Linked DNA regions of Callithrix jacchus. The main gene of each other region encodes a partner of the protein of the gene in region 5 in a complex. Links are inferred from orthologs where the notes say so. Each region holds a gene or a part of one and is shown on either strand. Other genes may lie near its edges.

Region 1 (4,097 bases), on a different chromosome or scaffold from region 5:
GGCCAATAAGGTGGGTATCTGGCAAGGAAACAAGTGGTAGGAGAAACAGGAGAGGTAGCAAGAGCCAAAACATGTAGCATCTTGCAGGCCAGGTTAAGCCAACTGGATTTTAAGCTAAGAGCAATGGGAAGCCAAGGAGAGTTTAAAATAGGAACACGGCATGATTAAAAAAAGAAAAAAAAGATTATTTGGGTTGCTGGATGGAGAACTGGGAGGCCAATAAAGAGGAAACTGCAGTCACTCAACTGAAAGGTGATGGTGGCTTGGACAGGGGCCATGGCCATGGAAATGAAGTGGACAAATTTAAGATACAGTCCGAGGCTGAACTGACTGGATTTGCTGATGGACTGATGTGTGCACATAAGAAAAAGGCAGGCTTTGCTTTATAACAAGTACTGAGACTGGAAAAACGGAGGAAAGGATAGATTTAAAGGGGAAAACCATGAGCTCCGCTTTGCCTGTGACAAACATAAGAAGCCTATCCGATATTCACGTGGGGAAGTCAGGTGGGATCCCACTGTGGAACTCCGGGTGAGACTCCGCTTAAGTGACCATTCGGGAGTCACCACACTGCATCACTCTACGTCCTGGTCCGTCTGTCTGCCTTCCTGGGACCCAAATAACTGCCTTCTCCACTTTCAGCCCTGAGCATCTGCGCTGTATCCTCTGGGCAACCCGGAGCGGAAAAACGCTACGCATGAGCTTGGGTCGGGCGAGGCTCCCGAGGAATCGCTCTGCGTGCGGAGGACAAAGGGACAGGGACAGAGCGGAGGGCCGGACGCGGCCTGCCGAGCTGCTCCCGCGGCCGCCGTCACGTCCCCGCGGCGTGGAAGACGCGCAGTAAACTGCATCCTGTCTCCACGTCTGGCCTCCCACCCCAGCCTCCCGGCCTCCTCCGCCCTGCTGCGGCGTCTCCCGCTAAGCCCGCTGGGCCTCGCTCTCACCCTCCTCCTCCTCCTCACGCCGGGCCTTGCTCTTGCCCTTGGACTTCTGGCTGCGCGGTTGGCGTCCCCGCGGCTCCCCGCCGGCCGCGCGCTTCCGAGCCATGTTGTTCTTCGGGGCAAAATCCACTTCGTGAGTGACGCACCTGGCCGCTGTGCACCAGAGCGCGGGCTCCGCCCACAGGCGGGCGCGTCTAGCCCTGTCCCTTAGTTGGAGGCCTAGCCACGCCCCCGAAGGAAGCTCCGGCGATACCCGTGGCCACCAAAAACCACAGGAAGCAGGAAGGAGAAAAACAGATTTCTCTCTACTTCCGGTGTATTATATCCTCCTGTTTCCGGAGATCCGCGTTGCTCTTGTGTTCTCGCGAGAAGCGGGAAAGAGCGCAGGGTTTGAAACATGGCGGACGACGTAGACCAGGTGAGTGTACTTTAAGGGGGTCGCTTCGAGCAGCTTCGCGTACTAGGGCTGGTTTTCCCAAACTTAGGAAAAATGGCCAGTCGTGTCTCCTCCTTCCAGGTCACCATGGTCCAATCCGCCCCGTCCTTTCCGTAACCGCCCCCTGCTCCGAATTTTGCTGCAGGCCCTGAGATCTTTTCCGGTTAGAAGCCCACCTGACTACTATTCATCACACTCTTCAATTCATTTTTTTAAATCTGTAAATTATTATCCTTGCCTGCCTCACGGAGCTGTTAGGATTCCAATAGAAAGCCTGATGATGAAGTTAGAAGTTCATATCATTACTGAGCGCAACCATTATTTATTCATTTAGCATATTTAGTGAAATTCAGCTTTGTATGGTTAGACACTATTCTAAGGGCCAGGGACACTGACATCGACATAGAAGTGATCCCTGCCATTACTTGGAGCTTATATTCGTGAGGAGAACAGATAAAAGTAAATATAAATATGTAGGAGACATAGGAACTGTGATGTGATGTGAAGGAAACAAGGAACTAGTTTGCAGAATAACAGATGGCCCTAGAAGCTTTTTCACCTTGTCTTTCTCTTCCTCAAATATCTTTGGAGATCAAGCCACAAATTCTTAAGCTTTCTACTGAAATCTCACCTCCTCAGAGAGGACTTCTCCTGCGCCAGTAGCACACGCTTTACTCTTCTTACCCTGCTTCATTTTTCTTCAGAGCGCATTATTATTTCGTATTAAATATATGCATCTGTTTTTAATGTATAACCCTTCCCACTAGAATTTAAGTGCCATAAGAGCAGGTTTTTTGTTTTGTTCTTTCTTCTGTCCTTAGGGTTTAGAACAGTGCTGGAAACACTCAACAAATATTTACTTAATGAGGCCTCTTTGAAAAGTCAATATTTAAAGCTACAGTGGGCATCGTAGACAGAGGCTTAGGTAGCAGTAGGGTTCTGTCGTGTGCATATTTTGACAGTATTTAATTATTTATTTGTATGCCTCTCCACATTACAATGAGCTCCTTGAGAGTGGAGATTGTGACTTCTATATCGTTATAATCTAACAGTTGGTTATCTGATCCTTTAACAAACACCTGTTGAACTAGGGAAGTAGGGATCAGTCGAGTCAGGGTTTTGTTTTTTCTCTCATCTGACCTTTTGAAGCTTTAGAGCCTGTTGCATTCAGTCACCTTCCTCCACTGGCCTCATGTACTTAATGAAGATCTACTTGAATAGTCTTTCTCTTAATGGCTGCAACCATTCGACCCCAAGTCATCCTAGCCCTGACCTCTAAAACCGACGTTTCCAGCAGTTCTTTAATAATACTAATAGGAACCATTTCTTTTCTTTTTCCTTTTTTTTTTTTTTGGACAGAATCTCACTCTGTCATCCAGGCTGGAGTGCAGTGGCACAATAGATCTCAGCTCACAGCAACTTCCACCTCCTCAAGCGATTCTCCTATCTCAGCCTCCCGAGTAGTTGGGACTACAGGCGCGTGCCACCATGCCTGGCTAATTTTTCTGGTTTTTTTTTTTTTTTTTTTTTTTTTTTGAGACGGAGTTTCGCTCTTGTTACCCAGGCTGGAGTGCAATGGCGCGATCTCAGCTCACCGCAACCTCCGCCTCCTGGGATCAGGCAATTCTCCTGCCTCAGCCTCCCGAGTAGCTGGGAATACAGGCACGCGCCACCATGCCTGTAAGTTTTTGTATTTTTAGTAGAGACGGGGTTTCACCATGTTGACCAGAATGGTCTCAATCTCTTGACCTCGTGATCCACCCGCCTCGGCCTCCCAAAGTGCTGGGATTACAGGCGTGAGCCACCGCTCCCGGCCAATTTTTCTGTTTTTAGTAGAGATGGGGTTTCGCCATGTTGGCCAGGCTGGTCTCAACTCCTGACCTCAGGTGATCCGCCTGTCTCAGCCTCCCAAAGTACTGGGATTCAGGCGTGAGCCACCATGCCCAGCCAGTAGGAACCGTTTATTACTATTTTCTGTTTACCTGGCACTGTTGTAAATACATTAACTACTTTAAACTTCTCAAGAACCCAGAAGGAAGGTTGTGGCCTCCTCAATTACAAATGAAGAATCAGAATTACAGATGGCATGATTTTTAATCTTAGTTCATTAGAGTCAGGTCACAGCCAGGAGTTGAACCCAGACTGCCTGACTCCAAAACCAGTGCTTTCTTTTTTCAAGACAGAGTCTCACTCTGTTGCCAAAGCTGGAGTGCAGTAGCACGATCTTGGCTCACTGCAACCTCCGACTCCTAGGCTCAAGCCATCCTCCCCCCTCAGCCTCTGAATAGCTGGGACCACAGGCATGTGCCACTGTGCCTGGCTAAGCCAGTGCTTTCAACCAGCGTTTTATACTGTCTACTAAATATATTCATCTTACTGGCCAGTTGGCAGCCTAAACTCAACCTGTGCTAAATTCATAATCTTCCCATTAACCTACACCTCTACTTAGCATTCTGACTAGTGTATGGTAGACATTGAGTGAGTGTTTTTCCAACGATTACATAATATTTGAGATAAAGCTAAAGTCCCTGAGAGCCCATACCCTGAAATTGGGTCAGGCAGTTTGATTTTGAGGGAACAAAGAATAGTCATGATTATTTTGCTGTGTAACTCCTTTTTGTGTATGTGTGTTTTAACCTACATTTATGTAGCACATATTATATGAAAGGCACTGTTCTAAGCCGTCATAGATATCACTTAAGCCTCACAACAACAGTATT
Region 2 (4,074 bases), on a different chromosome or scaffold from region 5:
CGGAGCGAGCCAGCTCCACTGACAGCCTCAGTTCAGAATCTGGTCTCCTGAACTGTGAGAAAATCACGTTCTGTTGTTTTAAACCTCTCAGTTTGCAGGCGTTTGTTACAGCCCCAGGAAACAACAGCATTTGCCTATTTACTTTGTTTACTGTCTCCCTGAGAGCCACGAATTTTGTGTTTTGTTCATTTCTGTGAGCAGAAGCAGGCACAAAGTATATTGTTAAGTACTTAATATGCGCCAGACCTGTTTTTGTTTGTTTTGAGACAGAGTTTCGCTAGTTGCTCAGGCTGGAGTACAATGGCGTGATCCTTTGCCTCCTGGGTTCAGGCTGGAGTACAATGGCGTGATCCTTTGCCTCCTGGGTTCAAGCGATTCTGGGATTACACCACTGCCGGCTAATTTTATTTTTTTGTTTTTTGTTTTTTTTGAGACGGAGTTTCGCTCTTGTTACCCAGGCTGGAGTGCAATGGCCGATCTCGGCTCACGGCAACCTCCGTCTCCTGGGTTCAGGCAATTCTCCTGCCTCAGCCTCCCAAGTAGTTGAGATTACAGGCACGCGCCACCATGCCCAGCTAATTTTTTTTGTATTTTCAGTAGAGACGGGGTTTCACCTTGTTGACCAGGATGGTCTCGATCTCTTGACCTCGTGATCCACCCGCCTCGGTCTCCCAAAGTGCTGGGATTACAGGCGTGAGCCATCGCGCCCGATCGCCAGGCGCTGTTTTAAGTGCTTTTTACATAGTTTCACTCATTTCATCCTCACAGCAAGCAACCTTTTGGAGCAGACACTACTATTATAACCCATTTTACAGCAAACTGAGGCTCCGAGGGGCGTGGTCAGGATTCCAACCCACTAAATGATGTTCCTGGATAATTACAGAATTAGAAAACTAGGAGTCCGAAGGGCGACCTGAGGGACGTCCCAATCACCACGAGACCTCGCTGTCTCTAAGACTGCAAACGAAAGGCATTAACTGGCTTTGCCCACAGCGTGGAGCCCGAGACCGACGGCTTCACCTGCGCATGCGCTTACCCACAAAACACCCCGCGCCTGGGCGCGTTGCTCCGCCCCCTTTTGCATTACAAGTCGCGACACTTTACGGCTCTATTCCTCGTTCCTCCGGCGGGAACGCGGCCCGCCCGCCCCTTTCGCCCAGAGGGCCCCGCCGTGTTCCGCGTGGATTGGTTGGCCGCCCTTCGAGCCCAGTGCTGACTGGCTCGCGTGTCTGCCACTTTCTTTCAGCCTAGTGGCGCGCGGCGCTGCGACGACCGCCGGGAGCGTGTGCAGCGGCGGTGGCGGAAGTGGCCGGCGAGCCCGGTCCCCGCCGGCACCATGGTGAGGGCAGGGCAACGGCGGGGTCTCATCGGGAGGCGGGAGCCGCAGGCGTTGGGAGCCCTCCGGGCGGGCGCTGACGGTTGGGTTGGCGCGGGGTGAACGTAGAGTCAGAGCCTCGCGTTCCGTCTCCCGGCACGAGGCTGGGAAACTGAGGCTGGAGACTGCAGATGGCTCTAGGACGTCTGTGTCTGAGATTTAGGGTTGCACGGGCTTGTATCCGTAGTACAGCGGGCTCGCTTTACTTAGTTTTTCCCATTTTTTCCCCTCAGGTGGGGAAACTGAGGTCAAAAAAGGTGGGGGCCCGCCAAATGCAAGTTTTTGGGCAGGGAAGGGGCCCCGAACGCTTCGGGCCCGGTCAGACCTCCCAGATTGAAAATTAGAGTGCTGGGAAGTAGGGGGCCAGTCTGAGTTGTGAAACTTAGCTTTAGGAATTTCAGAGCTTGCAAGATGCATAAAATGCTCGCAGCACAGCGTCCTAGGCCTGTTGTTTTCTGTCTGAAAATCGGGCCTGGTGCTGGGGTGTGGTCTTTCTCCTTGGGTCACATAGCATGTCATTCCAGGGGAAGGGGGCATTTTGAGCAGGAGTGGATAAAGTGCATCCTCCCAATACACAGAAGGAAAAACTGAGGCCCAGGTCTCTGCAGGGCCAGATGTTTGTGATTATGGAAGTTCTGGATCTGGGCCAGAAAGTGCCCGTGTCCTCAATGTGCAGATCGGAAAACGAAGTCGGAGCTGGGAATTTCCTGGCCCATCAGCATCTGGCGCTTCTTTTTTCAGGGAGAGAAATCTAGGCCTTTGTTGGGGATGTGACTTCCAGACTCTGTGAGACAGTGGGAGATTTAGTAACCAGGAGGGACCCACAGGGGTGGCTGCATCAGAGCTGAGGATTAGTAAGAGATGCTCCCTAAATCCTGGGGTCAGTGTGTAACCACCCAGTGGGTTCACTTAGCCTGCTTCCTAGACAGAGCCGATTTATCAAGACAGGGGAATTGCAATGGAGAAAGCAATTCACACAGAGCCAGCTCTGCAGGAGACTGGAGTTTCACTCTTGTTGCCCAGGCTGGAGTGCAGTGGCACAATCTTGGCTCACTGCAACCTCTGCCTCCCGAGTTCAAGCTTTTCTCCTGCCTCAGCCTCCTGAGTAGCTGGGATTACAGGCGTCAACCACACCATGTCCGACCAATTTTTTTGTATTTTTAGTAGAGACAGGGTTTCACCATGTTGGCCAGGCTGGTCTGGAACTCCTGAACTCAGGTGATCCACCCACCTCAGCCTCCTGAAAGTTCTGGGATTACAGGGTGAGCCACTGTACCCAGCCTAGGGGATCCGAGTTTTTAAGATGATTTGGTCGGTAGGGGCTCAGGAAGTGGGGGGTGCTGATTGGCTGGAGCTTCCTGAGGTTGGAGATGGAGTCCTGAGGAGGTCGAAGTGAGATTTTCTTGCTGTCTTCTGTTCCTGGGTGGGATTCTGTCCGTGGGTGGGATTGCGGGACTGGTTGAGCCACATTACTCGTCTGGGTGGTGTCAGCGGATCCACCTAGTACAGGGTCTGCAAAAATATCTCAAGCACTGATCTTAGATTTTTATAATAGTGATGTTATCCCCAGGAGCAATTTGGGGAGGTTCAGACTCTTGAGCCAGAGGCTTCGTGACCCCTAAACGATAATTTCTAATCTTGCAGCTTGTCAGTCCTCCAAAGGCTGACTGGTCCCCAGGTAAGAAGAGGGTGTTTTCTGGAAAAAGCTATTACCAATCTTGTCTCAGAGTCAAACTATAGACTGAATTTCTTCCCAAGGTTAGTTCGGCCTATGCCCAGGAAAGAGCAAGGACAGCTTAAAGGTTACAAGCAAGATGGAGTTGCTTAGGTCTGATCTCTTTTTGCTGTCATAATTTCCTCAGGTACAGTTGTTGCGAAGGCGGTTTCAAGTGCAACAATTCAGAGAAGGGAGCCGGCCCCTCCTGCTGTGTCCCCGAGGGCAGAGTTGGAAGGGTCCATCCTGTGACAAGTTTTATGGAAGCAGGATCTTCATTTTTCTTCCCTCTATTATTCCCACTGTGTAGAACGGTGCGTGGGCAAAGTTAGAACTCATTCATTCAGCCCGTCCCCACCTTCTGAACATCCAGAGTCCCCAAGTCCTGGCTATCCAGGCGTTTCCTGGAGGAGTGGCCAAGAATGGACGAGGCGGGCCAGGTGGAGTGGCTCATGCCTGTAATCCTAGCACTTTGGGATGCCGAGGTGGGTGGATCACCTGAGGTCGGCCAACATGGAGACACCCCGTCTCTACTAAAAATACAAAATTAGCCTGGAGTGGTGGGATTACATGCTTGTAATCCCAGCTACTTGGGAGACTGAGGTAGGAGAATCACTTAAACCCAGGAGGTGGAGGTTGCAGTGAGCCTAGATTGTGCCACTGCACTCCAGCCTGGGCAACAAGAGTGAAACTCCGTCTCAGGGGAAAACAAAAAGAATGGACAAGGCCTCATGGGATACACACTTCCAGTTCCCTGTGGTCAGGGTAGGACTAGGAGTGACCTGGGTTAGCAGCCGGGGAGGGCAGTCCTGGAAAGCTTCTGGAATTAGGAGCCACTGGATTTAGTCCTCATGGGTCTAAACCTGAGAACCAGACTCCAGGTGTTCCAAGAAAGCGCAGAGAAAGGAATTCTCTTTTCTGAATTTTCTTGTGATCTTCCCTGAGCCAGGTGATGGGGCCGCTCCCATCACACTTGGCACTTTTT
Region 3 (4,268 bases), on a different chromosome or scaffold from region 5:
CAAAGGGAAGAAACCAGCTTAAAAAGGCTGAGAATACCCAAAATCAGAACACCTCTTCCTCTACAGGAGATTACAGTTTCTCATCAGCAACAGAACAAGCCCTGATGGAAAAGGACTGTGTGCCATTAACAGAAGTAGGCTTCAGAAGGTGGATGATAAGAAACTTCTGGGAGTTAAAAGAACTTGTTCTAACCCAATGTAAAGAAACTAAAAACTTTGAAAAAAGGTTTGACGAAATGCTAACAAGAATAGACAATATACAGAGGAATATAAATGAAGTAACGGAGTTAAAAAATACAACACGAAAACTTAGCGAAATATGCACAAGTTTGAATAGCTGAATTGATCAAGCAGAAGAAAGGATATCAGAGGTCAAAGACCTACTTAATGAAATAAAATGAGAAGACAAGAATAGAGAAAAAAGGATAAAAAGGAAGAGTAAAGTCTCCAAGAAATATGGGACTATGTGAAAAGACCTAATCTACGTTTGATAGATGTACCTGAATACGACGAAGAGAATGAATCCAAGCTGGAAAATATTCTTCAGGATATTATTCAGGAAAACTTTCCCAATCTAGCAAAGCAGGACAATATTCAACCCCAGGTAATACAGAGAACACCACAAAGATATTCCTCAAGAAGAGCAACCCCAAGGCACATAATTGTTAGATTCACCAAGGTTGAAACAAAGACGAAAATACTAAGGGCAGCCAGAGAGAAAGGTCAGGTCACCCACAAAGGGAAGCCTATTAGACTTACAGCAGATTTCTCAGCAGAAACCCTACAAGCCAGAAGAGAGTGGGGGCCTATATTCAACATCCTTAAAGAACAGAACTTTCAGCCCAGAATTTCATATTCTGAGAAACTAAGCTTCACAATTGAAGGAAAAATAAAATCTTTTTTGAACAAGCAAGTACTCAGAGATTTTATTACCATCAGGCCTGCTTTACAAGAGCTTCTGAAAGAAGCATTATACATAGAAAGGGACAACCAGTATTAGCCTTTCTAAAAATATACCAAAAAAGTAAAGAGCATCAACATAAAGAAGAATTTACATCAACGAATGGATAAAATAGCCAGTTAACATCAAATGGCAGTAACCCTAAATTTAAGTCGACTAAATCCCCCAATCAAAAGATACAGCCAAAACCTAATGGTATGCTACATCCAGACCCATTTCACATCCAAAGATACACAAAGACTCAAAACAAAGGGATGGAGAAAGATTTACCAACCAAATGGAGAGCAAAAATAAATAAATAAATAAAAAGCAGGAGTTGCAATTCTCACGTCTGATAAAATAGATTTCAAAGCAACAAAGATATAGTGGTAAAAGGATCAATGTAACAATAACAGCTAACGATCCTAACACCCAGATACATAAGACCTATAAAGAGATTTAGACTCAACGAGACAGAAAATTGATGAGGGCAGCCAGGACTTGAACACAGATCTGGAACAAGTAAACTTAATCAATATTTATAGAGCTCTCCATTTTAAATACACAAAATATACATTCTTCACTTTAAATACACAAAATATTGACCAGCCATTATTAATACCCATTTTTTAGAATAAAGCAATATTCCTGTTTTCTCTCCCTTTTTTTCTTCCTCTTTCTTCTTCTCCTTCACTCCTTTTTTCTCTTTCTTTTCTTCTTTAAAAATAAAAATAAAGTAAATAAAATAAAGAGACTACAGAACTAAAAAAAAAAAATCCTGGGTTTTTGACACTTTTCTATCAGGAATGCTGCCAATTATGATTTTTGGGCAGGATATTTTGTTTCTAAGGTCTATTTCTTCATTTCTAAAATGAAAACTGAATGACTACTAAATTAATCTGTGTTGGACCATTTTCAAGCATGTTAAAAAACTGTCTTCCAGGACAGTCTTCTTTAATTAAAAAAGCAAACAAACTATATAATCAGTGTCACAAGATACCAATAATGCCCACATGATTAAAAGCATTCGGTATTTAATTTGTCATCCAGTTTGTACATGAGCACAATGTCGTGCTTCTGTCCTGAGACTTTAAAACGGTAACACTTGCAAAGTCTATTTTAAGACTTCCCATGCGGTTTTTTGTTACTTACTGCTCACTACAATCCAATACAACAGCAAGCATTTTTTTCATTCTACCAATAAGTTGAGACTTCAAGTGGTAAAGGGACTGAAACCTGGTCTGTGAACCATCGTTAAACTTTTTGCTATCCTCAAACTAATGAGCAAATTATATGAATAAAACAAGACAAAGATTTTTAAAACTGCTGTCGCCGCCCGGACGACTGTTCATCTTATTTATAAACCTGAACACGTAAGTCTTATGGAAATAGTAAAGAATCAAGAACGTATTTTTTTTTTTTTTTTTTTTCAAGAGAGAAAAGTTCGGAATAATCACACTGGGTTTTTATCCGGCTTTTGCAGGCGACAAGGAAAGGACCCCTGGGCCCGCAGCAGCTGCAGGCTCCAGCAGCCGCCGGTAAACTATGGGTCGTTCCGGGGTCCTCTTCCCCTCGCCCGCCCCCAAGATCCCGCCGCGGTCGGGTCTCCCAACCTCCCACCGATCCTGACTGGCTGTGTCTCCGTAACCCCGGCTCACGCCCGCGGCGGCAACCTTGAGGATACGGTTGATGTAGTTCTCCAAGGCGGACGTCATGCTGCTCTGCCCGGCAGTTCCGGGTAACACACCGGTGCCGGCGGCAGGCGGAACTGAATGGGCGCGCTAGAACCCTGCTGTGGCCTGCGCTTGCCGGGCCGCAGCAATGTCGCGAGACCTGCTGCCGCGCAGCTGCCCCCGAATCGGAAATTGTAATGAACTGGCCAATCAAACAGAAGCCGCACAGCGGCGAAGATAGAGCGCGCGTACGCAGTGTGTTTTCGCTGTAGTTCCGGGCCGTGTTCCGGAAACCGCGCGAGACAAAAGTGACCTAGAGGCAGACAAAAGCGAGCGAGAGACGGAAAAGGAAGAAGCTTCCTGAAGGTGGCGTAAGAGTGAGGGTGAGAGGGTGCGTTTTCTTTCAGTGTGGTGGAAGTTAATAAGTAAGACTGCTGAGACGAGGCAGAGCAGACAGGAAGAAACGGGATAAGGTGTTTTTATTAGGAGTGAAGGAGGAGAAGAGACAAGTACTGTTGTGTGAAATGCAGGTGCGGGTAGGGGAATCTCTAGTTTTCTGCAGCAGGAGATGAAAATAACACTAAAAATAAGTCCAGTTGCCCGGGACAAAGTTGCGCACGTTATAACGGCACAGTGTAAATCATCAATGAAAAGCACGTTCGTATGTTCTGCTTTTGTTTCTAAAAGCACTCCCAAATAGAGGTGCTGTTACTTTTTAAAGAAACTAAATGCAAATAGACAAAGGTGTGTGATCATTCCTTAGAAAATGAATATCCACGCTTCTACCATGCCACGATGGTCTACCCTTCCCTAGGGTTAAATTAGTAAGTAAAAGGCTCCTGCAGCACCGAGAAAGGACTGATGCAGAAAAGTACCAAACTTGGTTCTTATCTTGGCTCTGCTAGCAAATTGGTGTCATTGCACGAGTCACATCAACTCTTTTGGGCCTCAGTTTCCCTAGATGCTGCTATAGGTGCCGTTTAAGATATTTCCAGACATGATACTAGAAAATGCCACTGTGCCTATACGTTATTTACTGTGGTGCCCTAACATGAGAGAGCTGGAAGTTAGAAAAAGGTTTATACATAAAACACCAGCAGGAGTGATTTCTTTTTTTTACAAAATATCTTTATGATTTCAGTTAAACTTGTGATTTCTTAAGAATTGTGGTTTTGGAATCACTCTTGCAACCTCAGCAGTTTTCCTCGGAAAAGGAAGCATTTCTTAATTAGAGCATACCCACAAAATACCTGCAAGATGACTACCAAATAGTTAATATTTTATATTCTGGAACTTATTCCGATCTGTTTGAAATCAAGTGTAGTCAGGAATTGGATTGTGAATGTCTCATATTCTCAGGGTAACAAATGAAACTGGCTTCCATAAGTGACAGAATGGAGATAATTGTGTGATTTGCAAATGTTAGGGGTTGAACCAAAACCCATAAACTAATTAATGATTAACTAGGTATTAGTAAGGAGTTTTGTTAAAAAAAAAAGAAAAAGAAAAAAAAAGAAATTGCTGCTCATGGTGGTACACCTGTAATCCCAGCTATTCGGGAGGCTAAGGCAGAAGAATGGCTTTAACCCGGGAGGCGGAGGTTGCTGCGACTCACACCATTGCACTCCAGCCTGGGTGACAAGAGTGAAACTACA
Region 4 (3,500 bases), on a different chromosome or scaffold from region 5:
GAATATGAGAATTCCATGTGAGCAGCACTGTGGTGATGGTGGGGGAGGTGGGTTCTTAATATGTAACCAAATGAACCGAAGCATGGCAGAAGAAATGTGGTGAGGGAGACCAGAGACAGATTATGAGACTTAGGGAACCCAACAGAACCAAACAAATTGTTGATCCTCTAGGTCTAAAATGTCTCCAAAATGAGTAGAAATGTTGTTTGTCCAACATAGCTTCGAAACCTTTCATGCCACACAGAGCTTCATCTTCAAGCAGTCATAACTCTATGTCTGCTCTAGCTCCATATCCATGTTTTATGCATGAAACACAAGAAGACATCCTCCATAGCTACATCATTTTTTTTTTCTTTTTTTTTTTTTTTTTTTTTAAGATGGAGTCTCACTCTTGTTGCCCAGGCTGGAGTGCATGGTGCAACCTCCGTCTCCCAGGTTCAAGTGATTCTCCTGCCTCAGCCTCCCAAGTAGCTGGGATTACAGGCATGCTCCACAACGCCCAGCTAACTTTGTATTTTTAGAAGAGATGGGTTTCTCCATGTTGGTCAGACTGGTCTCAAACTCCTGACCTCAAGTAATCCATCCACCTTGGCCTCCCAAAGTGCTGGGATTACAGCTGTGAGCCACCGTGCCTGGCCAGCTACATCATCTTTTTTTTTTTAAAGATGAAACCAACAGGGTTTCACCATGTTGGTCAGGCTGGTTTTGAACTCCTAACCTCAGGTGTTATCGCCGGCCTTGGCCTCCAAAGTGCTTGGATTACAGGCGTGAGCCACCGAGCCTGGCCCAGCTACATCATTTTTTACTTTGCATCCAGTAATCCTTACCTGTCGGCTGAGCCAGCTGCTATTTTACTTCCATCAGGTGACCAAGAACATCTCAGAAGGTTCTATGATAAATAAGAATCCACTGAATAGTAATATACCAAACTCCTCTTTGCAAGGCTACAGAATCACTGAGAGGCTTTAAATTTCCTAAGTAGAGTTTTAATTGTTTTTCTCAGGAAGATCGTTATCTTATATTCTATGGCCTCCAATAGCATACTTTGTTATTTTACACCGTATAAAAACTGTAGAAAATGTTTAACTTACAATTAATTATATTGAACCTGGCAACAAAATTTTGTTCTACTTATAAATAGAGGCTCCCTTTATCTTGATATTCATTATTCTTTTTTCCTATTTATCTTGAATAAAAGCAAACCCAACAAATAATTTTTTTTTTTTTTTGAGACTGGGTCTTGCTCTATTGTACAGGTTGGAGTGCAGTGGCACAATCATAGCTCACTTAAGTTTTGACCTCCTGGGCCCAAGTGATACTCCCACTTCAGCCTCCCAGACAGCTGAGACTACAGGCACATGCCATCACAAGCAGATTTTTTATTTTTTGTAGAGACAGGGTCTCATTACGTTGTCCTGGCTGGTCTCTAACTCCTGGCCTCCTGCCTTGGCTTTCCAAAGTACTGGGATTACAACTGTGAGCCACCATGCCAGGTCTAAAAAATAAAATTTGATTTGTACAGTGAAACTGAATCCCAATGAGCTCTCAAAAGGAAAACGTTAATTTCTATTAACAAATTCTCTGAGAGTAAAAGCTTCTTTCAATAGAGCTGACCTTTAAATTTGAGGGTCTGAAAAAATTCTGTCTCTCAGAACTTGGGCTGTGGTAGGTACTGAGGGGAGAGATGTATTCTTAGGGTTCAAACATACCTGGTCATGGGGTAGGGAGGCAGGTGAGGGAGACCTTCTTAACAGCTATGGGAGCTTGGGTTCCATATGGAAAACTGATTTAAGAGGGTAGAATTCCCAAGTAATTAAAAGGCCAAGAGTGTCGTGTTGAAGGTGGTGTGAAGTCAGATGCCCTCAGTTTGAGAGCTGGCTCCATTACTTTTGAGCTATGTGACTGGCTTCTTCCCAATCATGAATATTTCTATTAGTTTTATTTTTGGCAGCAACAGTTTTGATTAAGAGCAGTGTTACTGGAATGAAGTCCATTCTCAGCAGAGCTACTGCTCTCTATCCTTAGTATCACCTGAAATGTTTCTTTGAATTAAATGAACAGTAAAACTCCCCTGCCATGCAGAACTCACCTTTTCAAAGTTGTGCACATTTCCTTGAAATATCTTTACACACCTCTCTTTGGGGGCAAATGGCCGGACATCCCAGACACGAACTGCAAAACAAATCCAAATAAACAAACCAACCAAAATAACTAACAGCCAGAGACCTCCTGAGCACCCAAATGAAATTAGTATCATGTTTATGACAGATGCTGTTTCCAGGATGGGGAAGTCCAGTATGACACACTGCTACCTGTTAAGCCTCTTTTCTTTTTCAAGCAGGAAAATACATCTAAATTCCAATAACTGGGGCTAGCTGAGGAGGCAGGAAGGAAGAATGTCACTCACAACGCTGGTAATTTGCAACAGAATGCAGCTGGCTGTGATACTAATTTCAAAGATATTTTGCAAAAGAGTCCTCTGCCAGCTTAGAGTCACATCCAGCAAAGCTTCAATAAGACAAACTAAATACCATGAACTACTATGATAATGAACTTATCAAAACCAAATTTATATTGCCCTTTCCTAATTTCCCTCATATGGGCACCTGACAGTCTCAAACTGAACAAGGTCAAATATATATAAAATATATAAAAAGTCGCTGGGCTCAGTGGCTCATGCCTGTAATCTTAGCACTTTGGGAGGCTGAGGCAGGTGGATCACCTGAGGTCAGGAGTTCAAGACCAGCCTGACCAATATGGAGAAATCCCGTGTCTACCAGAAATACAAAATTAGCCAGGCGTGTTAGCTCATGCCTATAATCCCAGCTACTTGGGAGGATGAGGCAGAAGAATCGCTTGAACCTGGGAGGCAGAGTTTGCGGTCAGCAATATTTTGCCATTGTACTCCAGCCTCGGTAACAAGAGCAAAACTCCATCTAAAAACAAAACAAAACAAAACAAAGTCAAACAAATCAAGAGTATTACACCATACCAAAAATCAGAAAAAGTAAATACTGATTCTAAGTCTAGCTCTGTTGGATATCTGGGTGACATCAGGTAAACAGTGAGACTGTTTGTGTCTTGGTTTTCTTGCTCTGTAAAATGAAGAGAAAATTACCCGTTCTTTTTAAAATAATACTATTTTATTTATTTTTATTTTTTTTTGAGATGGGGTCTTACTCCGTCACCCAGGCTGGAGTGCAGCTACACGATCTCAGCTCACTGCAACCTCCGCCTCCAGGGTTCAGGCAATTTTCCTGCCTCAGACTCCCAGGTAGCTGGGACTAGAGGCATGTGCCACCATACCCAGTTAATTTTTGAATTTTTTAGTAGAAATGGGGTTTCACATATTGGACAGGCTGGGTCTCAAACTCCTGATCTTGTGATCTGCCCACCTTGGCCTCCCAAAGTGCTGGGATTACAAGCGTGAGCCACTGCGCCCAGCCTATTTATTTTTGAGATGGAGTTTCACTCTTGTTGCTCAGGCTGGAGTGGGTGGC
Region 5 (3,999 bases):
AGCTCCTCTCAGGAGCAGCATCTCCATCTGGCACTCACTTCCTGCTGTCCCTTAATGGCTGGTGGTCATAGAACCAGTCCAACACAGGGGCATCCTCCTCGGGGTCCAGCTCCAGCTGAATGGCCTCCAAGGGCTCAACATCTAGGATGTTGTCAGCATAGTCCAAGGGCGGCTCCTCATCATCAAAAGGGGGAAAACGCATCCTCTTGAAATGCCTCCTATCTCTCTTTTCTCGACGCATCATAATCCACATTGACCTGAAGGCAAGAACGTCACATAACCATTCACCCACTGCCTCCCAGCCACCGCCACCACCGCACACCCTAGTTCAGTCTTCTCACCCCCACTGGGAGATGTAGACAGGTTCGATGACCCAGGGAATCTCATTGACGAAAGAAATGGCTCCAGTGATGTGGTACAGCACAGGCACGTCCCGGATCTGCTCCCAAGGCATAGGCATGTTCTCCAGAAGCTTGAGGACCGCATGGGGCATGTACTTCAGGGCACTGCCGTATCAGAAAAAGACAAGGCTATCAGAAATGACATGGTATTCTGCTGCCTGTCCCCTGCAGAGAAGCCACGAGTTCATGTTCCGCAGTAAATGCTACCTTACAATCCAAATGCCCAAGCTTAGCATACAGGCTCTTCATAACCAGAAACCCTGCCTCTGCCTTTCCAACTTCATCTGGTTAACACTCTTCTTAAACTTCACAGTCCTGCAATGCTGGTCTCAGCTCCCCTAAATCAACGGCTGTCCCTCCGAAGACAGCTTTGAGGCTGTCTCAAATTCTATTCTCTCCGCATCTTCTCACAAGAATAAAAAAACATTCACCATGCTTCACTATAACTAGTTGTCACCTGTCTGTCATGCCACTAGACCACACACTGCACAAAGGCGGAGACTGGTACTGTCTACTCACTCCTAGATCCCCAGCACCCAGCACAGTTCTCAAAAAAAAAGTACTTTTTTTTTTAAATAAACAAATCTTCCAGTTAATTACACAGTAAACATTTTTGTGTCCAAATAGAACAAGGATCTATTAAGACATCTGTACCTGTACTCATCCAGTTTAGAGCCTCAGAAAATCAGGAGTAGGGATACCTCTGAAGTTAAATACCCCGAACACAGAATTCAGGTCCCTGAGTAGTGTCTGGCGGCCACTGTACATAGTATCCCACTCTGGGCTTCAGCCAGTTCAATGACAGGAGTGTTTTACAACAGCAATAACAGGACAAATGAAAGCACCAGGCCCAAATCAGGAAGAGAAGGGAGAAAGACTGCATAAGTGGAAGATGCAGAAATTATCAGAGAATCCTACTGGTTTTCTCCTTTCTCATATCCACCAAGATGAGTTGTCAAAGCAGAGTCCTACTCCAAATGACAGCACATCTATCCAAGGATGCAAACTGGGACAGGGAGAAGGCAAAAGGGCCAAACTCCAAGTGAAATTGTTTCAAGGTGTTCCTTACCCCAAGTAAACCCTTTTGTCATGGCGGAACTTCCTGTTGGTCATGTCTCCATGGTCTCGAATGATCTTCCTGACATGTTCTGGGGGCATGTCTTCCTTCTGGGCATCCACAAACCCAAACTTCCGCTTTTCTGCATAGCGCTTGGCCTGCAATTGCTGCCATTTTCGAGCTACAAAGGCACCTCAGTTTAAAGGACTGCACACCCTCAACCTAATCATCTTCACCCCTTGCCCTAAGGTAAGTTTCTGTCAGTGTATGTGAGGGAGAAGCAGGCATCCGGCAGGAAGAAGCACTCCTTGCCAATTCCCTTACCATTTTACTCTATTTCTCCCTTCATCACATTTATCACTAGCTGACACTATTTATTTATCTTGAGAAGTTGTTTTGCTCTGTTGCCCAGGCTGGAGTACAGTGGCAGGATGTCACTCACTGCAACCTCCCCCTGCCAGGTTCAAGCGATTGTTGTGCCTCAGCCTCCGGAGTAGCTGGCATTACAGACACGCGCCACCACAGCTGGCTGATTTTTGTGGTTTTGGTAGAGACGGGGTTTCGCCATGTTGACCAGGCTGGTCTCGAACTCGTGACCTCAGGTGATCCACCCACCTCGGCCTCCCAAAGTGCTGGGATTAGAGGAGTCAGCCACCGCACCCGGCCTAACATTTTTATAACAGATCTTCAAGGTCTTTTCATTCTCTCTCCCTCTCTCCCGCAGGATAATTGTCTCCCACAGACAATAATTTGAACCCCAGGACAGGAATTTTGTCTCCATCACTATTGTATCCCCGCTGGATCAACGCCTGCAAATAACACGCGCTTAAAATGACTTGACTAGATAAAAAATTCAAAGGGGCATCTAGGGAGCTGACACCTAATGAGCTGCCCAAACGCGGGGGGGAGTCCCACCCCGCCTGGGAGCGCACCCTGCCCGCGCCCCGCTCTAGTCTCGCCTCACCTTTCTCCTGCAGTTTCTCCTCCGACATGTAGTCCGGCAGCGGGGCGAGTGGGCCGGGCACCGGGTTACCCGGCCCTCGGTAAGGAAATACTCCAGCCATCCCGGAGAATCTGCGGAGCGGCGGGAGAGAAAAATTAAGGAGCAACAGGCCCGGGCCCACAAGAAACGCCGCAAAAACGCGCCCGGGACCCCCGGCCTACACTCCCGCCATACTACGAGTGCATCCACTCCGGCCCGGCCTATCCCCTCCGGTCACCCCGCCCGACCCGACCGCGCCTCCCGCAGCCCGGCCTTAAACGCCTGCCACGCACCCCACAGCCCCTCACACAGGGGAACGCTTTCCCCACAGCGCAATGGCGGCCAGCCTGCGTCCGCTCCGCGATCCCAGCGCTAGGAAGTGCGCAACCCCAGTTCAGCAGTTGATCCAATCGGCGCCGAGATGCTCAGATGGATTAGTGAGATGACCAGTTAGAGTTTATATACTGCGCCGAGGGGGCGGGCTTACAGGCGGAAAAGCTTGAACGCAAGGGGGTGCGGTCGGAGTGAAGCCCCGCCTCCTGCGTTTGCCAGGCTGTTTCTGGCGCCCGGCAGCCCTCAGTGTGTGTGATAGGCTTCTGGCGTCGGACTGCGAGAGACCAAAGTCCACAGGATTTTAATAACTGTGCCAAGACTGCACACTGCACGATGTCTGTTTTCATAAATGTGGACATGAAATGCAGTGCTAGCTCCAGGACAGTCATTTGTTCATGCGTTCATTCATTCAACCATTCTTTATTGAGTGCCCCCTGTGTACCAAGGGCTGGACACAGCAGGGAAAAAGACAACCAGTGGCGTTCACGGGGGAGCAGAAAGGCAGACAGGAACCAAGACTTCACCCGGGCGCTGTGGCTCACGCCTGTCCTCCTAGCACTTTGGGAGACTGAGGCGGGTGGATCATTTGAAACCGGGAGTTCGAGGCCGGGGGCGGTGGTTCACGCCTGTAATCCCAGCACTTTAAGAGGCCAAGGAGGGAGGATCACCTGAGGTCAGGAGTTCGAGACCAGTCCGACCAACATGGAGAAACCGTCTCTAAAAAATAATAAGTAAATAAATAAATAGGGCCGGGCGCGGTGGCTCACACCTATAATCCCAGCACTTTGGGAGGCTGAGGTGGGTGGATCACGAGGTTAAGATATTGAGATCATCCTGGTCAACATGGTGAAACCCCTATCTACTAAAAATACAAAAATTAGCTGGGCATGGTGGTGCGTGCCTGTAGTCCCAGCTACTCGGGAGGCTGAGGCAGGAGAATTGCTTGAACCCAGAAGGCGGAGGTTGTGGTGAGCCGAGATCGTGCCATTGCATTCTGGTCTGGGCAACAACAGCAAAACTCCGTCTCAAAATAAATAAATAAATAAAATAAAATAAAAAGAGATCAGGAGTTGAGACCACCCTGGTCAATATGGCAAAACCCTGTCTCTACCAAAAATATAAAAATTCGCCGGGCGCGATGGCTCACGCCTGTAATCCCAGCACTTTGGGAAGCCGAGGTGGGCAGATCACGAGGTCAAGAGACTGAGACCATCCTGGCCAACATG
Region 6 (4,227 bases), on a different chromosome or scaffold from region 5:
GCTGTGGAGAAGACCTCTGGCTTCCGGCCATCAGCACAGCGAAGGCCCTAATACACAACTAAAGGCTTTTATTGGAAAAGGGAAATTGACTGAAAAATGGCCTCCAATTTCCTCACTGCCTGAGACACTTGGGGGTCTCCTCCACAAAGTCCAGGAAAGAAGGGCCCACCAAACTGGGCCCCCAGCAGGCTCAGGTATAGAGGTCAAAGTCAATGCGTTTGGAGTTGTAGAACTGACCACCAGGGGGGTCCAACTTCCGGCAATAAACACCGTCCGGGAAGTAGCCTTCGCTCACCCAGGTCTGCAAGGAGAGGGCAGAGCTGGGGAAGGACTGACAGGAGTTGGGGAAGCAGGGACAAGGCAGAAGGAGGAAGAAAGCGGCTCACCTGCATCTGGGCGCTGGTGAAGGGTCCATACAGCTCGGCATCCCCTGTGTTCTCCCACTTATATTCCCACATCACATCCACCAGACCATCTCCCGGCGACTCTGCTTCTAAAATAACAGGCAAAGCCATTTGGCCTCCAGTGTCTGCCTCCTGCCCAGTGCCTCCTCCTGTGTCCTCCAAGCTCACCTCCTTTCTGGGTAGGGGTTGGGGTCTCCAGTTCCCCCTCCGCCACTTCCTCAGCAAACATGTCCAGGGAGGGTGGGGGTGTGGGATTGTGGGGTCCCAGGGTCTGGCACCCCAAACCCTTCAGCCTCATGGCCAACCGTTCCCGAGTTTCCTGGTACACGCCAAGGTTGCCCCGGGCCACCATCTGGTCGGCCAACCCAGAGAGCCGGTCCAGGCGCTGTGGGGAATTGGGTCGTCCGGGCCCCTTGCTGCTCCCTTTGCCTCCTCCTCGGGCCCCCAGACGCCTCAGTGCCCCAGCCACTGTTTCTCTAGGCAACAGGAGCTCCAAAAGTCCCTCCAAGAGAGCTTGGGCACTCATTGGGGTCTGGCCCAAGCCATCCTCCTCCTCCGAGTCTGAGGTCTGGCGCTGGCCAGGTGGCCGCTCCCGGATCTTCACCTGTAATGGGAAGAAGGGGAGTGATTTCCCACAAACTGCCACGGGAGCAGGCAGCAGCTCTGCCACTCCCTGGCCCCAGCCATGCCAGCCCCTTGGCCACACCCAGTCAATGTTGTCCAGCCAGCTGTCTCGGATCTGAGCATCCCGGTTCAGGAAGTAGTTGCCATCGGCATCGAAATGGCCTTCCTCCATCTCCTCCTGCAGGTTAAAAGGTGTGATCCGCACACCCCCCTCGCTGGGGAGTGTGGCTGCCTCCTGACCTGCACCAAAGACAGGGGTGTCCTTTGCTGGGGATGAAAAAAAAGAGACCGGGGCCTCCCTCACCTCACACCACCAGAGGTCTCTACTTTTTCCTTCAGTAGAGTGTATTCTTGAGTACAGCTCACCTTCTACATCCTCTGAGGACAAGATGTCATATTTGCTGGACCCCCCATCGTCATCATCCTCCTCATCGCTGTCCAAAGAGTGTTTGCCTTTGAAGCGGCTCCCAGGACCCCCTGACCCAGCCACAGGGTCCACCAGCTGTGAGCAGGAGCCAGGAAGTCAAGAAATGCAGGTTACTGGCTACCTCCCCAAATACTGCCAGATCTGGACCCAAATACTCCCCAAATATTTCAGGATCTCAACTGCTTCCCTAGATATTTCTTTTTTTTTTTTTCTTTGAGACAGAGTTCACTCTTGTTGCCCAAGCTGGAGTGCAATGGCTGATCTCAGCTCACTGCAACCTCCGGCTCCTGTGTTCAAGGGATTCCCCCACATCAGCCTCCCAACTAATTGGGACAGGTGCCCACCACCACCCGGCTAATTTTTAGTACTTTTAGTAGAAATGGGGTTTCACCAGGTTAGCCAGGCTGGTCTTCAACTCCCGACCTCAGGTGATCTGCCTGCCTTGGCCTTCCAAAGTGCTGGGATTACAAGCGTGGGCCACCGTGCCCAGCCCTACTTCCCCAAATATTTCAGGACCCACACTGAAGATGCTCCCAATCCATTCCTCAGTGAACCTGGAAAAACTAGGCTTTTCTCTGCCAGCCCGCCTTGCCCCTCCCAACTTTCTTCCTCCTCAGGCTTCTAGCTCCTCTCTTTCCCCCCACACAAAGAAGTTTGGTCCCCTCACCTTCTTCTTGGGGACACTGATATCATCCTCGTCCTCTTCATCTCCCACGCCTTGGAAGGTCACTTTCCTCTTTGGCATGACAGGGCAGAGAAGGTGTTCCTCAAGCTGAGGAAAGTATGCAGAGGAAGAGAACGGGGTGAGGAGGGGACTCGCCGCCAGAGGATTCCCGGCACAGCAAACATTTTTCTTGGTGACAAGTACAGTTTGAGAGGGAAGGGAGCACAAAAGCAGGGGCGGAAAGGGAGCTGGAAGCCAGAAGGCCTCTGGTACTCGGTCTGGCATCCTCGAATTAAATGGGGCGGGGACGGAGGGGCAATCCCTCTGGATCCCCCGACCCCGGCCAAAAGGAGACAGGCTCCACCATGTGACCACCTCCAAACCCAGCCCCCGCAGTCTGGGTACCACCAGGCTCGACGGGCTGACCCCCGCCTCCTACCCAGGCTCTCTCGGAGCTCGCGGGGCCCGGGCGGACCCAGGACCTGGCGCCCTCGCCGCCCCGTTCCTCCCTGCTCCGAACTCCCAATTCCGTGTGGTGAGCTCCACCTGTCCCGGGCTGCGTACAAAGTAGAGGGCCACGGGGATTCGGATGGTCCCACGCTCGCGCGCTCACCTGGGGATCCGCTGGAGGTGAGGCGGCAAAGAAGAGATGCTTGCGCCAGGGCTACATCCGGGGCACCCGGCCGCCATCACCCGGAAGAGGACTGAGGAATGCGCCGGGGAGGCCGGAAGTGGCTTCACTCCGGCCAGAGGACCAACTGGAAGAGCGGGCGGAAGTACGCGATGAGCGAGGGAAGACACCTCCACCCTTTCTTACGCCAGAAGTGACGTCAGTCGCGTGGGAGGAAAGTGGCGAAAAGAGGAGACTTAAGAATTCCTAGACTCTAACCCGGCGTGAGAAATGGCCGGAAGTAGCTTTGATTCTCTCATTGAGCCGTAGAGGCTCTGGAGAAAAAGTGGAGCGCATCTACTTAAAGGGTCGCTCAGTGTCAGGATTTAGGAGCAAAGTCTGAGCAGAGCCACTGGATTGCTTTCTTGTCTTCCTGTCCTGGGTTCGAGTAACCCTTCCCCCAGGGAAGGGTTCTGCGCCCCTACCGTGTCGCTAGAAATCCTGCCTTCGGCCGGGCGCCGTGGCTCACGCCTGTAATCCCAGCACTTTGGGAGGCCGAGGCGGGTGGATCACGAGGTCAAGAGATCGAGACCATCCTGGTCAACATGGTGAAACCCCGTCTCTACTAAAAATACACAAAAAATTAGCTGGGCATGGTGGTGCGCGGCTGTAGTCCCAGCTACTCGGGAGGCTGAGGCGGGAGAATTGCTTGAACCCAGGAGGCGGAGGTTGCGGTGAGCCAAGATCGCGCCACTGCACTCCAGCCTGGGTAACAAGAGCGAAACTCCGTCTCAAAAGAAAAAAGAAAAGAAAAGAAACCTCGTCTCTCCTAAACTACAAAAAAATTAGCCGGGCGTGGCGGCATACGCCTCTAGTCCCAGCTACTCGGGAGGCTGAGGCAGGAGAATTGCAAGCACCCGGGAGGCGGAGGTTGCATGCGGTGAGCCGAGATTGCGCCACTGCACTCCAGCCTGGGCAACCTCAAAAAAAAAAAAAAAAGGAATCCTGCTTTCGGGCTGGGCACGGTGGCACACGCCTGTGATCCTAGCGCTTTGAGAGGCCGAGGCGGGTGGATTGCCTGAGCTCAGGAGTTCAAGACCAGCCTGGGGAATACGGTGAAACCCGTCTCTACTAAAAATACAAAAATTTAGCCGGACATGGCGGCATGAGCCTGTAATCCCAGCTACTCGGGAGGCTAAGACAGGAGAATTGCTTGAACCCGGAAGGCGGAGGTTGCAGTGAGCTGAGATCGCGTCATTGCACTCCAGCCTGGGCGACAAAGTGAGACTCGTCTCAAAAAAAAAAAAGAAAGAAATCATGTCTTCCCACTCCTGTGGTCCTGTGGTCAGCTCTCCTAGCCAGAGAAATGCAGCCTTGCCCTCCCAAGGGGGAGCCTGGCTCTCCTGATGACCAGATGGCCAACCTGGGGCCCCTGGATGGCTCTCCGGGCACTTTCTGAACACAGCACCCTTTAGGACACACGGGTAGTCATGTGTCC
Region 7 (4,076 bases), on a different chromosome or scaffold from region 5:
TTAAGCCCTGGAGAATACCTCAGTTTATAGTGTTACTACTCAGTTATTTCTTTTTATATAATCCTTTATATGATTATATATTAGTTTATAGAATTAGGGCTTGGAGAGTATCTGTTTACAGTGTTACTACTCAGTTATTTCCCTTTGTACAATCCTCTCTATATGATCACACATTAGTTCATAGAATGAGTGCCTAAAGAATATCTTACCACTCAGTTATTTTCATATATATTAAAACTATATCTAAGTTTATAATCAGAGGAATGCCTAGAGTAGATACAGTACAGAGCATGAATTAAGGAATAAGCAGCTTATAATCGGAGGAATGCCTAGAGCAGACACAGAGCACCGCATGATTTAAGGGAAAAATGTTATACCAGGGCAAGAATCCATGGCCTAGGCAGCAGCATTCAGTATTATAGATACCCGCTGTATGGCAGGCTTGGGGCAAGAGCCACTCCTCCTGATAAAGGAGTTGTAGGACCTTGCACCAGTTCCTGTGGAAGGCTGCCCTCAGACCGGCAATCACACCTTGGTGACTGTGAACTTTATCAGCTCTTGTTACTGTGCTGCTCGAAAAGCATTCCTCTATAGAACTTATTGGAAGCTGCCAGCAGGTGGCATAGACCCTGACAGCTCTGTCACTGCTATGTGACTTAAAGCATCCTCCTATAAATCTTCTTAGTAGCTTACCCATAGATAGAGGTATTGCACACTGCACCCTCTTCACTGCACATGGCCCACCTCCATACCTCAGTGACCTAATGGGGGTGGACCCCTTACTGCACACGGCCCTTGCCTTGATGACCTAATGGGAATGGACGCCTTGCTGCACACTGTCCACCTCCCAGCCTAGGTGACCTAATGGGGTGGACCCCTTGTTTTATTGCTCACGACCCTATCACTATCCTTAAAGATGACTTCACTCACTGCCCTGCCCCCTAACCTAAACACAACAAACACTCACGCTTCTGGACATTTGGGGCCTCACCTGACTCCACTCATAGGGGCGTGGCCCCTCGAGCCCAGCTGCATTTTCCCTGTACTTCTGTGTCCTGTCTCTTTTTTATTTTTTTGAGACGGAGTTTCGCTCCTGTTACCCAGGCTGGAGTGCAATGGCGCGATCTCAGCTCACCGCAACCTCCGCCTCCTGGGTTCAGGCAATTCTCCTGCCTCAGCCTCCCGAGTAGCTGGGATTACAGGCATGCGCCACCATGCCCAGCTAATTTTTTGTATTTTTAGTAGAGACGGGGTTTCACCATGTTGACCAGGATGGTCTCGATCTGTTGACCTCCGGATCCACCCGCCTCGGCCTCCCAAAGTGCTGGGATTACAGGCTTGAGCCACCGTGCCCGGCCTGTCCTGTCTCTTTATTCCTTGGATCCTGCGCCTCAGCACAGCATAAGGCACACCCTGTGGGCCATCAGCCCTACAAGCTTCACTGGCCACCCAGATACTGACTCCCAGTGGCTTTATCCAGTCCAAACTCTGGCTTTTCACATGCACATCAAGCTCCACAACCCCAATTATCCATCCCCCTCCAAATCTGCTTCTCTTCTCTGCTCCTCAGTTTCAGTAGAGATGACACCCACAACTCATCTGGCTGCTCAAGTCAAAATTCAAGGAATCATTCTCAATGCCTTTTCCTTCCCAGTCTCATACAAGTGCTGAGTTCTGTTCATTCCTCCTCCAAAACACCTCTCCAACCTGTCCACTTCTCTCCATCCCACTGCTGCTGCATTGGTGCAGGCTACCATCGGCCCTCATGTGGTCTCTAGCAGTCCTGATTTCCTGGTCTCCAATCCTGACTACCTTTGACTAAGTTCTCAATCCAGCAATGTTTACAAAATATGGATCTGAGCAACTCACTCCTCAACTCACATCCATGGCTCCCTACCAACCTCAAGACAATCTATATTTCTTAACGGAACCTACGGTACACGGTCCTTTGTGTTCACATCCCTAACTATCTTTATCTTACTCCCTCATTTCACTACCATGAGCCCTACACGATTCTTCCAATACCAGGTTTCTCTCGCCTCTGCATACGCTGATACTACTTCATTCATTCATTCAACACATTTATTGAGGATCTGTAATTGTACCAGACAACTGAGGAAAACAGAAGCCCTCTGTCCTCAAGGAGCTAGGTGGAGAAAGTCAATCTCTAATCCTAATCAACCATAGAAAATACTTTTTTTTGAGACAGTCTCGCTTTCTTGACCAGACTGGAGTGCAACTGGCGCGATTGCAGCTCACTGCAGCCTCTAACTCTTGGGCTCGAGAGGTGCCGTAGAAAAACTATTTAATAGGAGTTAACGTAGACAGTCTGGGGGTTTCCCGGCCTGGAGAGCTTCGCAGCCACTGCGCGCACACCCAGACCCGCCCGCTCCGGGACCCCTGCCCGCCCCGCCCCCTGAGCAGGTCCCGCCTCCTCACCGGCCTCATAGCCGTCGTCGCGCTTCTCCCGCTTCACGCGCCGCTCTGAGGGCTCTGCCTGGCTGCGCTCCCGCCCGTGCGTGCTGCTCCGGGCCTCAGCTTCGGCCCCGCGCCGCCCACTCCCGCGCTCGCCTCCACGTTCCCGGCTCCGCTTCCGTCGTTCGCCGCCGCTACCGCCACTGCCGCTACTCCGGTGCTTGTGTTTTTTGTGCTCCCGGTGCCGCGGCGGCTGCTCGGTGGCCCCACCGGTCCCGGCCGCCGCCGTCGTCCCGGCCGCCTCTTTCTCTCCGCGGTGCTTCTTGGACGACCCCATAGTAGCGCGTCAGCCCCAAGCCCGGCCGCTGCCGAGCCCAGACAACGCAAAATGGGAACACTTCCGGGTCGCTCGGCAGCCGCTGTCGTGTTGCGGGAAACTAAGAGCGGCTGCTTCCGCCGCTCGCCTTGGAGCCTGCCCCAGAGGCTCATGGGAAGGCTAGGATCAGGGCTCCACTGCGCATTCGCGCGGTCTTGGGTCCAGTGGGTTCTGTGAGCAGGTGGTCCTGTTGCGCATGCGCTCCTCAAGGGACGCGGAATTAACCCCGGAGATGGGATCCCAAAACTGGAAGGAGTTAGACCTGCTCCACCCACCACACAAACAGCAAATAACTTTACTGAACACTATCAAATGTGTTCAGACACCTTAAGCCAGTGTCTTCGAGGCTGGAAGTTCCTCCTTGGCCTCCCTGCGCTTGTACTTCCCCGGCAACGTGGTGTTCACTACCTCACGGTCTCCGTGGACACCTCCCTCCTACAGTGGGCGCTCGCTTCCTGGACTCCTGGGGTCGTGGCTCCAACGGGTGTTGTTTTCCCGAGGTCCCCAATTGCATAGCCCAGCTTCCGACTCCCTAGAACCAGTATCCTCAGGGAACGCTGCCTTCCCACGTCCCCCGGGTTGTTTTTCTCTTGAGATAGGATCTCACTCTGTTCCTCAGGTTGGAGTGCAGTGGCGCCATCACCGTGCACGGCAGCCTTGACCTCCCGGGCTCAAGTGATCCTCCCACCTCAGCTTTCCCAGTAGCTGGGACTGCAAGTGCACGCTACCACGCCCCTCTAATTTGTGTATTTTTTTATAGATATGGGGGCGGGGGTCTCACTATGTTGTCCAGGCTGGTCCTGAGCTCAAGCGATTCACCCGCCTTGGCCTCCCAAGTGCCGAGATTACAGGTGTGTGCCACTCTGCCTGGCCCTGGATTGGGTTTTTTAAACGTGTGAACTGTTAAGGAGCTCCACATGGGTGTCAGTGTGTCCGTGGAACCCCTGAAATTGAATGCAAAATATGGCACATCTGTGTGTATGATTTTTTTTCTTGAGGAGAGGATCCCTAACTTAAAACTACTGGAACTTAAAAAGACCAATGCACACATTCCCTCCTGAAACCCCTCCCCCCACCCAACGGTTACTAAGACTGTGGCTCCCTGTGTGGCACAGTCAGTCTGTGTTAGGGTATGTTGTATGCACCCCTCTGAGGGTCCACCCCCCCTCCCACTGACTGGGCATCCTCAGAGGCGGGAGTCGTTCCATCTTATTCACGCTTGAATTTCTAGGACCCAGCATACACATTGAGGATGGGGTGGAGAAGTCACAGTTCTTGCTCTTTG

What was found.
Region 1: PRPF8 (region 5) and LSM3 share a complex: the UniProt entries of both Homo sapiens proteins name them as parts of the U4/U6-U5 tri-snRNP complex. The link is inferred for Callithrix jacchus from reciprocal best matches to the Homo sapiens genes PRPF8 and LSM3.
Region 2: PRPF8 (region 5) and LSM4 share a complex: the UniProt entries of both Homo sapiens proteins name them as parts of the U4/U6-U5 tri-snRNP complex. The link is inferred for Callithrix jacchus from reciprocal best matches to the Homo sapiens genes PRPF8 and LSM4.
Region 3: PRPF8 (region 5) and LSM8 share a complex: the UniProt entries of both Homo sapiens proteins name them as parts of the U4/U6-U5 tri-snRNP complex. The link is inferred for Callithrix jacchus from reciprocal best matches to the Homo sapiens genes PRPF8 and LSM8.
Region 4: PRPF8 (region 5) and SNRNP40 share a complex: the UniProt entries of both Homo sapiens proteins name them as parts of the U4/U6-U5 tri-snRNP complex. The link is inferred for Callithrix jacchus from reciprocal best matches to the Homo sapiens genes PRPF8 and SNRNP40.
Region 6: PRPF8 (region 5) and CD2BP2 share a complex: the UniProt entries of both Homo sapiens proteins name them as parts of the U5 snRNP complex. The link is inferred for Callithrix jacchus from reciprocal best matches to the Homo sapiens genes PRPF8 and CD2BP2.
Region 7: PRPF8 (region 5) and SART1 share a complex: the UniProt entries of both Homo sapiens proteins name them as parts of the U4/U6-U5 tri-snRNP complex. The link is inferred for Callithrix jacchus from reciprocal best matches to the Homo sapiens genes PRPF8 and SART1.

The regions. Positions count from the first base shown.
Region 1 is NC_133516.1:71,157,652-71,161,748, forward strand, and holds the start of LSM3 (U6 snRNA-associated Sm-like protein LSm3), read left to right. Parts: upstream 1-1,297; 5' UTR 1,298-1,338; coding exon 1,339-1,359; intron 1,360-4,097. Other genes in the region: XPC (DNA repair protein complementing XP-C cells), read right to left, coding at 945-1,047. UniProt on the Homo sapiens protein: Plays a role in pre-mRNA splicing as component of the U4/U6-U5 tri-snRNP complex that is involved in spliceosome assembly, and as component of the precatalytic spliceosome (spliceosome B complex).
Region 2 is NC_133523.1:17,038,834-17,042,907, reverse strand, and holds the start of LSM4 (U6 snRNA-associated Sm-like protein LSm4), read left to right. Parts: upstream 1-1,274; 5' UTR 1,275-1,336; coding exon 1,337-1,339; intron 1,340-4,074. UniProt on the Homo sapiens protein: Plays a role in pre-mRNA splicing as component of the U4/U6-U5 tri-snRNP complex that is involved in spliceosome assembly, and as component of the precatalytic spliceosome (spliceosome B complex).
Region 3 is NC_133512.1:88,800,361-88,804,628, reverse strand, and holds the start of LSM8 (LSM8 homolog, U6 small nuclear RNA associated), read right to left. Parts: upstream 2,801-4,268; 5' UTR 2,656-2,800; coding exon 2,625-2,655; intron 1-2,624. UniProt on the Homo sapiens protein: Plays a role in pre-mRNA splicing as component of the U4/U6-U5 tri-snRNP complex that is involved in spliceosome assembly, and as component of the precatalytic spliceosome (spliceosome B complex).
Region 4 is NC_133508.1:67,899,181-67,902,680, forward strand, and holds part of SNRNP40 (U5 small nuclear ribonucleoprotein 40 kDa protein), read right to left. Parts: intron 2,173-3,500; coding exon 2,090-2,172; intron 890-2,089; coding exon 828-889; intron 1-827. UniProt on the Homo sapiens protein: Required for pre-mRNA splicing as component of the activated spliceosome. Component of the U5 small nuclear ribonucleoprotein (snRNP) complex and the U4/U6-U5 tri-snRNP complex, building blocks of the spliceosome.
Region 5 is NC_133506.1:66,551,899-66,555,897, reverse strand, and holds the start of PRPF8 (pre-mRNA-processing-splicing factor 8), read right to left. Parts: upstream 2,801-3,999; 5' UTR 2,734-2,800; intron 2,533-2,733; 5' UTR 2,523-2,532; coding exon 2,423-2,522; intron 1,640-2,422; coding exon 1,471-1,639; intron 507-1,470; coding exon 342-506; intron 258-341; coding exon 39-257; intron 1-38. UniProt on the Homo sapiens protein: Plays a role in pre-mRNA splicing as core component of precatalytic, catalytic and postcatalytic spliceosomal complexes, both of the predominant U2-type spliceosome and the minor U12-type spliceosome.
Region 6 is NC_133513.1:29,873,078-29,877,304, forward strand, and holds the start of CD2BP2 (CD2 antigen cytoplasmic tail-binding protein 2), read right to left. Parts: upstream 2,801-4,227; 5' UTR 2,666-2,800; exon of another isoform or gene 2,559-2,665; intron 2,228-2,558; 5' UTR 2,201-2,227; coding exon 2,123-2,200; intron 1,531-2,122; coding exon 1,395-1,530; intron 1,269-1,394; coding exon 1,111-1,268; intron 1,009-1,110; coding exon 573-1,008; intron 494-572; coding exon 387-493; intron 302-386; coding exon 191-301; 3' UTR 1-190. UniProt on the Homo sapiens protein: Involved in pre-mRNA splicing as component of the U5 snRNP complex that is involved in spliceosome assembly.
Region 7 is NC_133511.1:123,038,013-123,042,088, reverse strand, and holds the start of SART1 (U4/U6.U5 tri-snRNP-associated protein 1), read right to left. Parts: upstream 2,801-4,076; 5' UTR 2,753-2,800; coding exon 2,440-2,752; intron 1-2,439. UniProt on the Homo sapiens protein: Plays a role in mRNA splicing as a component of the U4/U6-U5 tri-snRNP, one of the building blocks of the spliceosome. May also bind to DNA.